3 linked regions of the Oryzias latipes genome follow. The protein of the gene in region 2 purifies or fractionates together with the protein of the main gene of each other region. This does not show direct contact. Links are inferred from orthologs where the notes say so. Each region holds a gene or a part of one and is shown on either strand. Other genes may lie near its edges.

Region 1 (3,653 bases), on a different chromosome or scaffold from region 2:
TTCATCGTCAGTCTTTCTAGGAACTGAAGGCAGCAGCTCCTGCAACCTCCCCCCTCCTCCATTTGTGTCACATGTCCCGAGTCTCCAGCCCTAATGGCTGGGAATGGCCAGAGACCGGCATTGCCTCCTGGTACTTCCAAATATAGCAACGCTGCCTACATGTACACAGCAGTTTTACTCATCCACCTGCCTTCTGCACACTGTTAGGCTGCTTTCACACAGCAACATTTCAAGGTTACTGAGTTTTCAGCACCAATAATTGTGAACGCAAACATCAACATAGTGAGGTTCAATGCTCTCATCCACACAGTTACATTTCACTGATGTTTTCTCATATTTTTGAAGCCTTGTCCTGTAAATATCTCCATTATAGTTCCTCATCTTCTTGACTGAACGTCTCATTGACCTGCTTTCATACAAACAAAATATACAGTGATCTCAACAGCATGAACGCTCTTATTTTCTTATATTTGATGTTTTTACTAAATATTAAGAGGCTTTCTGATCCATGCAGAAGGTCTCACCCTAATTAATAAATAACTGAACTTACATCTATGAATATGTTCACTTGTGGGTGAATAATACATTTCTCCTGATGCCACACATGCAGGTTATTAACGCCAATTATGATCAGCTGTAGTGAAGCAATAGCTTTGTCTTTTTATGTTTAAGGAAATGATGAGATTGGAGTGTTAACACGCATAGACATCCTCACTGCTGCTTTACAAACAGACATGTTGATGTTTTGATCTGGCATCATAGACAGATGCAAAGAAATGACTTCCTTCCTATGCAGTTGCTTATTTATATTGTGGGAATGTTAAGTGGCAATTGTTATGTTTTGAATGAAGGACAAAAAATCTGTTTCACAAAACTTTCAAAGTGTGGCTGCTGCAAGTTTTTTTCTTTAAATCATTGTCCAGCCATCCATCCTTTTCTGCTCATTCGGGACCGGGTCACAGGGGCAGCAGGCTAAGCAAAGATGCCCAGACTTTACTCCCTCAGGCCACTTTCCTCCTGATCCTCTCCGAGACGTTCTCAGGTCAGCTGAGAGATGACGTCTCTCCAGCGTGTCCCTGGTCTTCCCCATAGTCTCCCCCAGTGGGACATGCCCGGAACACCTCCCCAGGGAGGCACCCAGGAGGCATACGGACCAGATCCCCAAGCCACCTCAACTTGCTACTCTCGATCAATGAACCACTACCTTAGCGTGGTGATGGGCTTTGAGAGCTTGAGTGATCCCACGATCTAAGATGTCTGGGGCTTATACCCCTGGTGGGCAGACAGGCCAAGACAAAGAGCAATTCAGAACCTCCTTCATAAGTACTAAGCATCAAGAGAGGTTATGACGCCAGGATTGGGGTCACCAGGGCCTCACCCTGGGGCCAGGCCTAGAGTTGGGGCTTGCAGGCGTGCGCTTGGTGGCCGGGGCTCTTCCAACTGGTCGCAGTGGGGTTCATCCTGTAGAGACAAAGTGGCATCACTCCCGTGTGGGCCCACCACCTGCAGGATAGATTAAAGGGGAGCTGGTGTAATGTGGTTTGGGCGGGTACCTCAGCCCAAACCCCGATCATGGAACTTGGCTTTTAACTAATGTACCGGTAGTTTGTCACTTTTTTTGTTTGCGCTTTCCCAGTTTTTGCTCTTTTTTTTCCCCCTGTGAGACTGCTGTCCGTCTTCTAGGTGTTTTAGTCCCACCATCTCTGTGACAGATGCTGATGGCATTTATTCTGGACTCCCTATATCCTGTCAACACTAAATTAAAGCTTTAGGATATCATTAAATGTGGCTGTCATCAGTGCCACTGTGAACCACACCTTTCATGCTTTTGCAGTCATCATGTGCCCTGAGAACCACCCAAGTGTTTGGTGGCAGAAATGAAGGGTTTGGTCCGTTTGATTGGTCAGCCGCCCGTTATGGGTCACTTCTGGTTTTTCAGAATTAGTGCCCCCCCCCCCCTCCATGTTATAGATGGGGTTTGAACACATTTTCCTTGAGCTGGTACAGCTAACCTGCTGGTGTTACTGTGCTGTAACTACACTGGGATGTAAACAGTGGGTTATGCTGGTTAGTGTGGGCAATGGTTTTGAGGAAGTCGGGGAGACGCAGAAGTGGACTAATCTGTCTTTAACTGACTGACGTCAGGTCGCTGTTGGCCTGCAGGGCTCAGAGCCAGGTTTCGGCAGGTAAATACACATCAGCTGCTGCACTAATGACTTAAGTCAATACCGTAGAAGGAAATCTGAAACATCGTCGGTGCTTTTTGATTCTGTGATGTGAATTGGTTCTGAATAAAATCTGCTTTAAGTTGTGTGTCCAAAGTAATTCAAGCATTTCTTTCCTTCGTAGGTCATCTGGTGAAGTGTGCAAAGGGAGGAGGGCAGACAGCGCCACCTGGGCGTGCAGCAAGGGACTGCATCCCATCAGAGCACTGACAACCAGCTTCCTGAAGCTCTGCTGCTGCTGCCAGATGGACTGCAAACTCTGAGGATCCAAGGATTCAGGACTAAAACCGGCTGGGGGGGCATAACGCTCACTGGAGCAGGAAAAGGAGGGCATTGGTTGGGAAAGGAAAGGACAGGGGCTTTATGATGTCTACAAACAGGACCCAGAACCCACACGGACTGAAACAGATAGGCCTGGACCAGATATGGGACGACCTGCGTGCTGGCATCCAGAAGGTGTACACGCGGCAAAGCATGCCCAAGTCACGCTACATGGAACTCTACACGTATCCTGGGATTTAGTGGGGTCTGCATTTGGGTTTATTGGGGAAAGCTGGTGGTTTTCTTACCAGCTTCAACTCTAGAGATGTTAGTATCAGCAAGTTTCTATGAACACCAAAATCCAGGATCTGTTTTCATGCAGTAATCGTCACTTTTTCAAACCGTAATTTGCCTGTTTTAGTAGAAGAAAACTTAGTCAAGTTTTGCTTTAAAGTCCCACTCCAACTACATCTTAATCTGTTGCAAAAGTGTTCCTAGTGGTCTTTCAATTATGATTATGCCCTTTTTAGCCTACATCAAAAACCTGTGTCGTTTTAAGACATAGAGTCTGTAGAGCCGCAAGAGTTCATTATAAAAATCCCCTCTGAGTTGTGGGCGTGGCTGTTGGTGCAGAGAGACTCCACGCTGGTATCCCATCATTCCTTTATTTACACTTTCCCACTAGCTTACCGCCTCTTAAAACCCCGCTAGCATTAGCGTAGCAACAAAAATGGCTGCAATATTGAAGCTATCCAGCCGTACAGCTTAGATCTGGATTCCAGCTCAGATGAGAACAAAGACGTTCATGATAACATCTGTCTGCAAGTGAATGCTGCAGAATGGAGCAGAGCAGGGAGACTTTGGCTCGCCCATTTCAGTTGATATGTCACAACTCTAAGCTTTTTTAAAGCTTTTTTTATCTGCTCCTGATCATCACGATTTCAATAAAGAAATGGACAGAAACACAGTTTAATCTTAAACTCTTTAAATATGTCCTCCATCATGAGAAAAAACGCTACAAGAACATGTTAAGAACGCCAAAAACACAATTATTATTGGAGTGGGTCTTTAGAAGCTCCATTTTTCTCCATATTTGATGTGCAGAAAATAGATGATTGCGGGCGGGCGGCCATGGTGCAGCGGTAGACCATGATCGTAAGGTTGCAG
Region 2 (3,753 bases):
TGTAAAAAATTTGGAGAAAAGAATTCAACAAAATCAGTTTCAAAAACATCTTAAGAGAAAAGTGTGTTTGCCATTTTGTTGAGGTGTCTGAATCTACAATTCCAAAAGACAGTGCCCTGCAAATGTCCGATAAGTCTCTGCAAAAAACTAGTGCCCATCGATGCTCCCTAGATTGGGAACTATAGACCACAATGCATTGTGTTTTTTAACGATTTGTCATTTGAAAAAATGTGATAAATTAATTTTTTTATGAATCATCCAAGTTTCCATCATCAGAACATAGTGGACTCATAAATAGATTTTGTAAAATGTTCATATGTATTAGATCGTACTTCAAATGGGTGATGTCATAATGGCATTGGGGGGAAAAAGGGGTCCAAATTACTTTTAAAATCCAGGGCACAACATAGTCTGAACTATATAGTCTTTTAGTAGTTAAGGAGGGGTGAGGGAATTCAGACAAAGCCTTAGATCAAATTTAACTTCACACATTTCAAGTTGTGAGTGCTTGAGGTTGAGACAAATGAATTAGGGGTTGTTCAGAACTGTTCTTTGATATTAAAGACTCACTCCAATGAAAATTCTGTTTTTGGCATTTTTCACATGTTCTTATGGAAGTTTCCTCTTGATGGAAGACATATATATAAAAGAATTTAAGATTAAAACTGTGTTTCTGAGTATTTCTTTATTTAAATCTGGATAAATCATGAGCGGATGAAAAAATGCTGTTTGAAAAAGATTCTCTTTTGTGACGCAGCAACTGAAATGGCCGGACAAAAGTCTCCCATAAATCATAATCAAAAGACCACTGGGGATGATTACATTCTCTGAACCTGTTTGGGGTCACGGGGTCGCTGAGGCAAAAGCGGGATCCACCCGGGACAGGTAGCTAGTCTGTTGCAGGGGGACAGAAACAAACATCACATACACTCACCTCCCTCAGGTGTGAATACCTGAGGAACGTCTTTTTGGACTGTGGGAGGAAGCTGGAGAAAACTCACGCATACATGAGAAGAGGATGCAAACTCTGATAGAACCCAGCTGGGATTCGAACCGGGGCTTCTCACTTTGATTTGAGAGTGCTAACTACCACACTTTGAACCCTAGAATTACTTTCATAAACAAGTCAATTTTGTGCAATTGCCTAAATCGATGACTGGACTAAACAAGAGGTCGTCTTGTGCCGTTAGTCCTCTACTATTCTGGAAAAGTTATACTTTTACCAAATATTCTAGGTGTGTAGGACGAAGCAAAAACAGAAAGAAAACAAATATATATTTAAGGAAAAGCACAACCTGGAATATAATGATAATTATTTGACATAAATGACAGTTACACCAGCCTTTAAAAAATCTTTTTGGACGGCTCCTGCTGGATTCTGTCGTCATTTCTTTTGGTCTCGCGCCCACAATTCGGTAGACTGAAGAACAGCTGGCTTCAAAGCACCGGTTTACCGCCCACAGAAACGCAGCAGTTCCTCGCGACGGACACTAGGGCGCCTGATCGTTAATGCGTGGCGAAGATATCAGACGTATTTGTTGGAACTAGGCGTGACAGTCACACATCTTGCGGACACCATCAGACGATATTAAATCCGTTTTACCTGTCTGCAACCCCGCCGGCTCTCAGTCACACGCCGTAGGCTGACGTCCGCAGTCCTGTCAGAGATAGGAAAACATGCTTTGTTACCTTGAACACAAGATTTCAAGATGAATACATTGATAGGACAAAAAAGGCTTTTAAGTTGTACTGTGGCGCGCGCATACACACCCTAGGTGCGCGCGCGCTTAAAATACCCTCAGCATTGTAGTCTCCTCACGGACTTATCTTAGACGACACTTGCAAGTATTTCTTAGTACATGTAGCTTATAAATGTAAGCACCATAGAAAAACACATTTAGCAGGGCTTGACGGACCTGTTACTCGTGCCGTCTATGCTAACCCAAAGCATGCATCATCTTAGATTCGGAACATCAAACCAAGCAAAAAAGGTTGTATACACCAGTCAATAAAAACACAAAACCATTCACATTTAAATTGACACGAACCAGTAAGTAGCGGATATATCCTTTCCCCAACGTCATGGTTATGTAGTAAATAGCGGAATAGCCACCGCAAAGCTAACCTGTCGGAACTTATTTCTACCACCATGTAACAACAACGTGGCGGTGTAGCTTTTACCAGCGAACCAACTTAACTGGTGCACTCAATTGCCTTCAATCTGATGTAAATGCTATAAATCTAACATTCCCCTTTCAATTATAGCGGCTGGTAAACGCTGGGCTAAAGAAGGTTGTCAGTTTCTGACAGCATGAATACCAGAAGATAATGGAAACGGATTCTACTGTCTGCGGGTAATGTTGAACCACAGTCATGTCTTACAGGCGCTGTCGCTTCTGCTTTAAGTGCTTTAAAAATAGTATTTTGTTCAACATTACTGATATGCACTGTACAAACTTATTTGTTTAATTTGGCAGTTTGTCCGACTCTATGTTTTCTATTATTATAATGATACCCACTTGACTGTAAGACAAAAAAACGGGTAAGGTTTTAGCCAAAGTCGACTCGCTTCCTGTGTAACGTTAAATATGGCACGTAGTGAAACATGTGAAATTTTCCAATCTGGCGCCGATTTACTAATGTGTGCTTTTTATTCTATAACACGGGTATACTTTTACTGTTTATTTATATACAAGATCAACTCAAAATATTCAAGGTCAGCAGTAAAAACGCCTAAAATTATTCTTTCTCTTTACATTTGTCAAATATAGGAACTGGAACCTAGGGAAATACAAAGGGCTACAACCAAAACTTCACATTAAGAATCACAAAAAAGAATGCACACATTTATTTCTGCAGGTTATTCATTAAAAGTAATTTTCTCCATTTACTGCTTACTCATAATCTGTTCTGTTTTTTCCCCCTCTCTGTTGGATGTGATAGCTTTTTTGAATATTTCTATGTCTCTATATCGGAAAACTCAAAACAATTTTACTCTTAACATTTTAAGTTTGTTTGTTCACTTTTCAGCATATCCATTAAGGGGTCACCATCAGCTTTCACTGATTTGCTCAGGGGGTTTGGCAGAGATTTTAACCCAGGTTGGGGACAGGCACAGAGGGACCCAGACTTGGTTAGGCGCCTAAGGCAAGACCCTTCACTTGATTGGCTTCTTTGTATTTATTGCAATGAAAGCAAAGCAGCAAACAACTGTTAAATAATCTAAAAAGGTTTGACCAATGCAAAAATTCTTTAGATCTTCAGGAAATTTATAGCACTAATTTGATTCTTTGCAGAAATGAAATATTAAAAAGGAATAAATCAAACATTCTGACCTGTCTAGGATAACCTCCTTCCCCCAACAGTAGTTGGGATAGGCTCCAGCAACTCACTACTATTACCCCAATTTAGCGAGTTCTGAAAATGGATGAACGGTAACATAATTTATTTAATGTTTTTACAATTACAGGTTAGTTCAAATTGATTCATTGAGGCCGACTTTCATTGCAATTCTCCAGGAATCAAGGGCCCATTAGAATATTGTCCTTCTTTGAATTGTGAGCCTATAGGCTCAGGGTCCCTTCAAGATGGATTGCACAAAAAGCTTTTCTTACCTGTATTGGACAGGACTTTAGTAAAAATTGAAAACAATATTAAACATTAAAACAAAAAAACAAACAAAAAAAGTGAAATAACCCATAAGAAAAAAACAAAAAACAAGGCTGCAACTAATTATGACCATGGAAAAATTGC
Region 3 (3,753 bases), on a different chromosome or scaffold from region 2:
CATTGATCAAAATGAGGTACAGAGCGGCAGTTGTAATTTCTGTGGCAACCAATAGAATGCGAAGTCAGCATGTGACAACTCGGTGACGTCATGTTTAGGCGGGTTTTTCATGGAAAGTGCTAGAAGAAACGAAGCACTCCCCTTCGGTATTCTTCCATGTGATTACAAAGACCTAGAGTGTTCGTTGATTCCGTAAAAAATACAGCGTGCTTTTAATTTTTGACATCCAGATATAGAGATTCTATACAAATACTTTTTTTTTTCAACAAAATTTTGACACATTTTTAGAATTTAGACAATTACTAAACGGAAGCTCGTAGATGTAGTTTTTGCTGTATCTTAAATAACCGCTAGATGGCAGCAAAAATCAAATACGATTGATTTTATTCTTAGTTTTGTTTTTAATATAATAAATTTATAACGTTTAGATTTTACCTCCTTGGCCAATCAAAATATTGTGCATGCTATTCCACTATAACTTTTTATCTGTTGATATAAATAATTACATATTTTTCTGGAGGAGCACAGTTAGTTCGAGAAGGAGCGCCGCGGAGGGATCTTGTCCTGCACTGAAACTCATGAGCATATAGATTCGGCGTGCAGCTCCAGAATCCTCCTTTCTTTTTCCTGCGTCAGTGAGCGGCAGGGATAGCACTTTTGTTGCATTTTATTCAAGAAAAGCCAACATAAGAAACAAGGTATGTCTTGGTAATTCACTTCATATTGAGGGAAACCAAACTTTAAATGGTTTATTATTATTCTACACCGAATGTTGAGTCATTTAACGGGTTTTTTTGTTATTTGATTTCGATTCACGTGGTTTGTTTAACCTTGATTCATCGATTAAAAGCATTTCTGACATAGCGGGTTTACTATTCTTAATTAGTAATGGGCTTTAGGTTAAATCTTGTACTAGTGACCGAAAATAAGTGGTGGGCTTTTGCCGCATCTTGTAGGCAGACAGAAGGTATGGAGATTTATTATTGTGAAGGTTGGTTGTACCTGACTGTTTAAAGAATAACATTACCATAGTTTAACGAGCGATTGACGTGTCTTTGTGTATATTTTGCCAACGAAGGATTCTAGATGGACTACTAGTTTAGAATCTTACACCCAGAGTGTGTACATCATGTACATCTTGCATAACCGACACAGGAGTGCTCGTGGTTTTTCGGGGTGATGGTAGTTTTGGGGGCTATTTTTTTGCAGTAAAGCTCCTGAGCGATAATCCAAAATCGTTCGATCTTGATATTCACGGAAGCTTCGGGTTTTTTCGGTTTTAGTCGGCACGTGCTTGCAGCGTCCATTGTCCATGCCTCGCCGCCATGTTTCGCTGCACTTCCGCCCGTATGTTGTAATCTGATGGCAGGGATCCGACTCTGAACCGGTTTCTGAATTGTGGTAGTTTATGGTTTAAAATTATTCATTAAAAAAAATTAAACTAAAAACTACAATCTTAGTAAAATAATTGGCAGTTTATTACCGTATTTTGCGTATTTGTAAGATGTTGTGCTTTTATTTTGGCGTTTCCTGTTGGTTCATCCCATTATTAGTCTGACGCTGTTTGTTGCAAACCTGTTATTTCTTATGCAGATGCCTGAAGAAATGCACCAAGAGGAGGAGGCTGAGACCTTTGCCTTCCAGGCAGAGATTGCTCAGCTGATGTCCCTGATCATCAACACCTTTTATTCCAACAAAGAGATCTTCCTCAGGGAGCTGATCTCCAATGCCTCTGATGTAAGTCTGCAGCAGTTTACGTAACATCGTATCACCTCTGTGTCAATACAGTGAAATATCTTGACGCTGAATTATTTTTAGGCTCTGGACAAAATCCGCTATGAAAGCTTAACTGATCCCTCCAAGCTGGACAGCGGCAAGGATCTGAAAATCGACATCATCCCCAACAAGGCTGACCGCACCTTGACCATTGTTGACACTGGAATTGGCATGACCAAGGCTGACCTTATCAACAACCTGGGTACCATTGCAAAGTCTGGGACAAAGGCTTTCATGGAAGCCCTTCAGGTATTAATATAAACAGGCATAAAGGGGAAAAATACATATACACATTTATATATTTTTTTAGCAGAAGTGAATACAAATTGTGGAACTTTGCCGTTTTCTTCAGGCTGGAGCCGACATCTCCATGATTGGTCAGTTCGGTGTGGGATTTTACTCTGCCTACCTCGTCGCTGAGAGGGTGGTGGTTATCACCAAGCACAACGACGATGAACAGTACGCCTGGGAGTCCTCTGCTGGGGGATCCTTTACCGTCAAGGTCGACAGTGGTATGGATCTTCAAATATTATAATTATGGTGCAACAAACTAAAATCTGACTGTGAAACATTTGTTAACCTCTACAACACTGTTCTCAGGCGAGCCCATTGGCCGTGGAACAAAGATCATCCTGCACCTTAAAGAAGACCAAACGGAGTACATTGAGGAGAAGAGGGTCAAAGAGATCGTGAAGAAGCATTCTCAGTTCATCGGCTACCCCATCACCCTCTTTGTAAGTGATTTGTTTGTTTTTTTACAAACATATTTCTCACTAATAGAAGCTTATGTGGAGTTGTACGTGGTTTATCTATAGGTGGAGAAAGAACGTGACAAGGAGATCAGTGATGATGAGGCAGAGGAGGAAAAAGAAGAGAAGGAGACCAAGGAGGAAGGTGAGGACAAGCCAAAGATTGAGGATGTGGGCTCAGATGATGAAGAAGACGCTAAAGACAAGGGCAAGAAGAAGAAGAAGATCAAGGAGAAGTACATTGACCAGGAAGAGCTGAATAAGACCAAGCCCATCTGGACCAGAAACCCTGATGACATCACGAGTGAGGAGTACGGCGAGTTCTACAAGAGCCTCACAAACGACTGGGAGGATCACCTCGCTGTGAAGGTAAAATAGAGGTTTGGGTGTCTTCTGATCGGCTGATGGAACCTCGTGCTGACGTGTGTTTCTCTTTTAGCACTTTTCAGTGGAAGGTCAGCTGGAATTCAGGGCTCTGCTCTTTGTTCCTCGTCGTGCACCTTTTGACCTCTTTGAGAACAAGAAGAAGAAGAACAACATCAAGCTGTACGTCAGGAGAGTCTTCATCATGGACAACTGTGAAGAGCTCATCCCAGAGTACCTGAGTAAGTTTTAAATCTCTGTTCCACCGGATCTGAAAGGAAATGCACAGCAGCTTTAAAACGTTTTTGTTTGTTTACAACAGACTTCATCCGTGGAGTGGTGGACTCTGAAGACCTGCCCCTCAACATTTCAAGAGAAATGCTGCAGCAGAGCAAGATCTTGAAAGTAATCCGCAAAAACATTGTCAAGAAGTGCCTGGAGCTGTTCGGAGAGCTGGCAGAAGACAAAGAAAACTACAAGAAATTCTATGAAGGTTTCTCAAAGAACATCAAGGTATCTCAAACATATCTGAAGCTTTTCTAAATGATGCCTATAAACTGATGGATTTTTTTTTTCCTGTAAACTTTTAAGGTGTGAAAATAAATCGACACATATTTAGCGTGAAGCCTTGGAATTGGGCAACGCTTGCTGCATTACCCAGAATTTAGTTGAGTAAATCGATCACAACTTTTATGTTCACAGCTCGGCATCCATGAGGATTCTCAGAACCGTAAGAAGCTGTCTGAGCTGCTGCGCTACCACAGCTCCCAGTCTGGAGATGAAATGACTTCCCTCACAGAGTACCTTTCTCGCATGAAGGAGAACCAGAAATCCATTTACTACATCACTGGTAGGTTTGGCTTCC

What was found.
Region 1: the proteins of fbxw2 (region 2) and cul1 purify together in Homo sapiens (affinity purification with western blotting; 13 studies listed by BioGRID and IntAct, with this or other methods). This does not show direct contact. The link is inferred for Oryzias latipes from reciprocal best matches to the Homo sapiens genes FBXW2 and CUL1.
Region 3: the proteins of fbxw2 (region 2) and hsp90ab1 purify together in Homo sapiens (affinity purification with mass spectrometry; 3 studies listed by BioGRID and IntAct, with this or other methods). This does not show direct contact. The link is inferred for Oryzias latipes from reciprocal best matches to the Homo sapiens genes FBXW2 and HSP90AB1.

What each region holds. Positions count from the first base shown.
Region 1 is NC_019878.2:3,231,638-3,235,290, forward strand, and holds part of cul1 (cullin-1), read left to right. Parts: intron 1-2,349; 5' UTR 2,350-2,588; coding exon 2,589-2,731; intron 2,732-3,653. UniProt on the Homo sapiens protein: Core component of multiple cullin-RING-based SCF (SKP1-CUL1-F-box protein) E3 ubiquitin-protein ligase complexes, which mediate the ubiquitination of proteins involved in cell cycle progression, signal transduction and transcription.
Region 2 is NC_019870.2:24,496,762-24,500,514, forward strand, and holds the start of fbxw2 (F-box/WD repeat-containing protein 2), read right to left. Parts: upstream 2,305-3,753; 5' UTR 2,049-2,304; intron 1,659-2,048; 5' UTR 1,604-1,658; intron 1-1,603. UniProt on the Homo sapiens protein: Substrate-recognition component of the SCF (SKP1-CUL1-F-box protein)-type E3 ubiquitin ligase complex.
Region 3 is NC_019882.2:5,881,758-5,885,510, forward strand, and holds the start of hsp90ab1 (heat shock protein HSP 90-beta), read left to right. Parts: upstream 1-1,587; coding exon 1,588-1,737; intron 1,738-1,818; coding exon 1,819-2,025; intron 2,026-2,128; coding exon 2,129-2,288; intron 2,289-2,376; coding exon 2,377-2,510; intron 2,511-2,591; coding exon 2,592-2,894; intron 2,895-2,964; coding exon 2,965-3,130; intron 3,131-3,210; coding exon 3,211-3,401; intron 3,402-3,590; coding exon 3,591-3,738; intron 3,739-3,753. UniProt on the Homo sapiens protein: Molecular chaperone that promotes the maturation, structural maintenance and proper regulation of specific target proteins involved for instance in cell cycle control and signal transduction. Undergoes a functional cycle linked to its ATPase activity.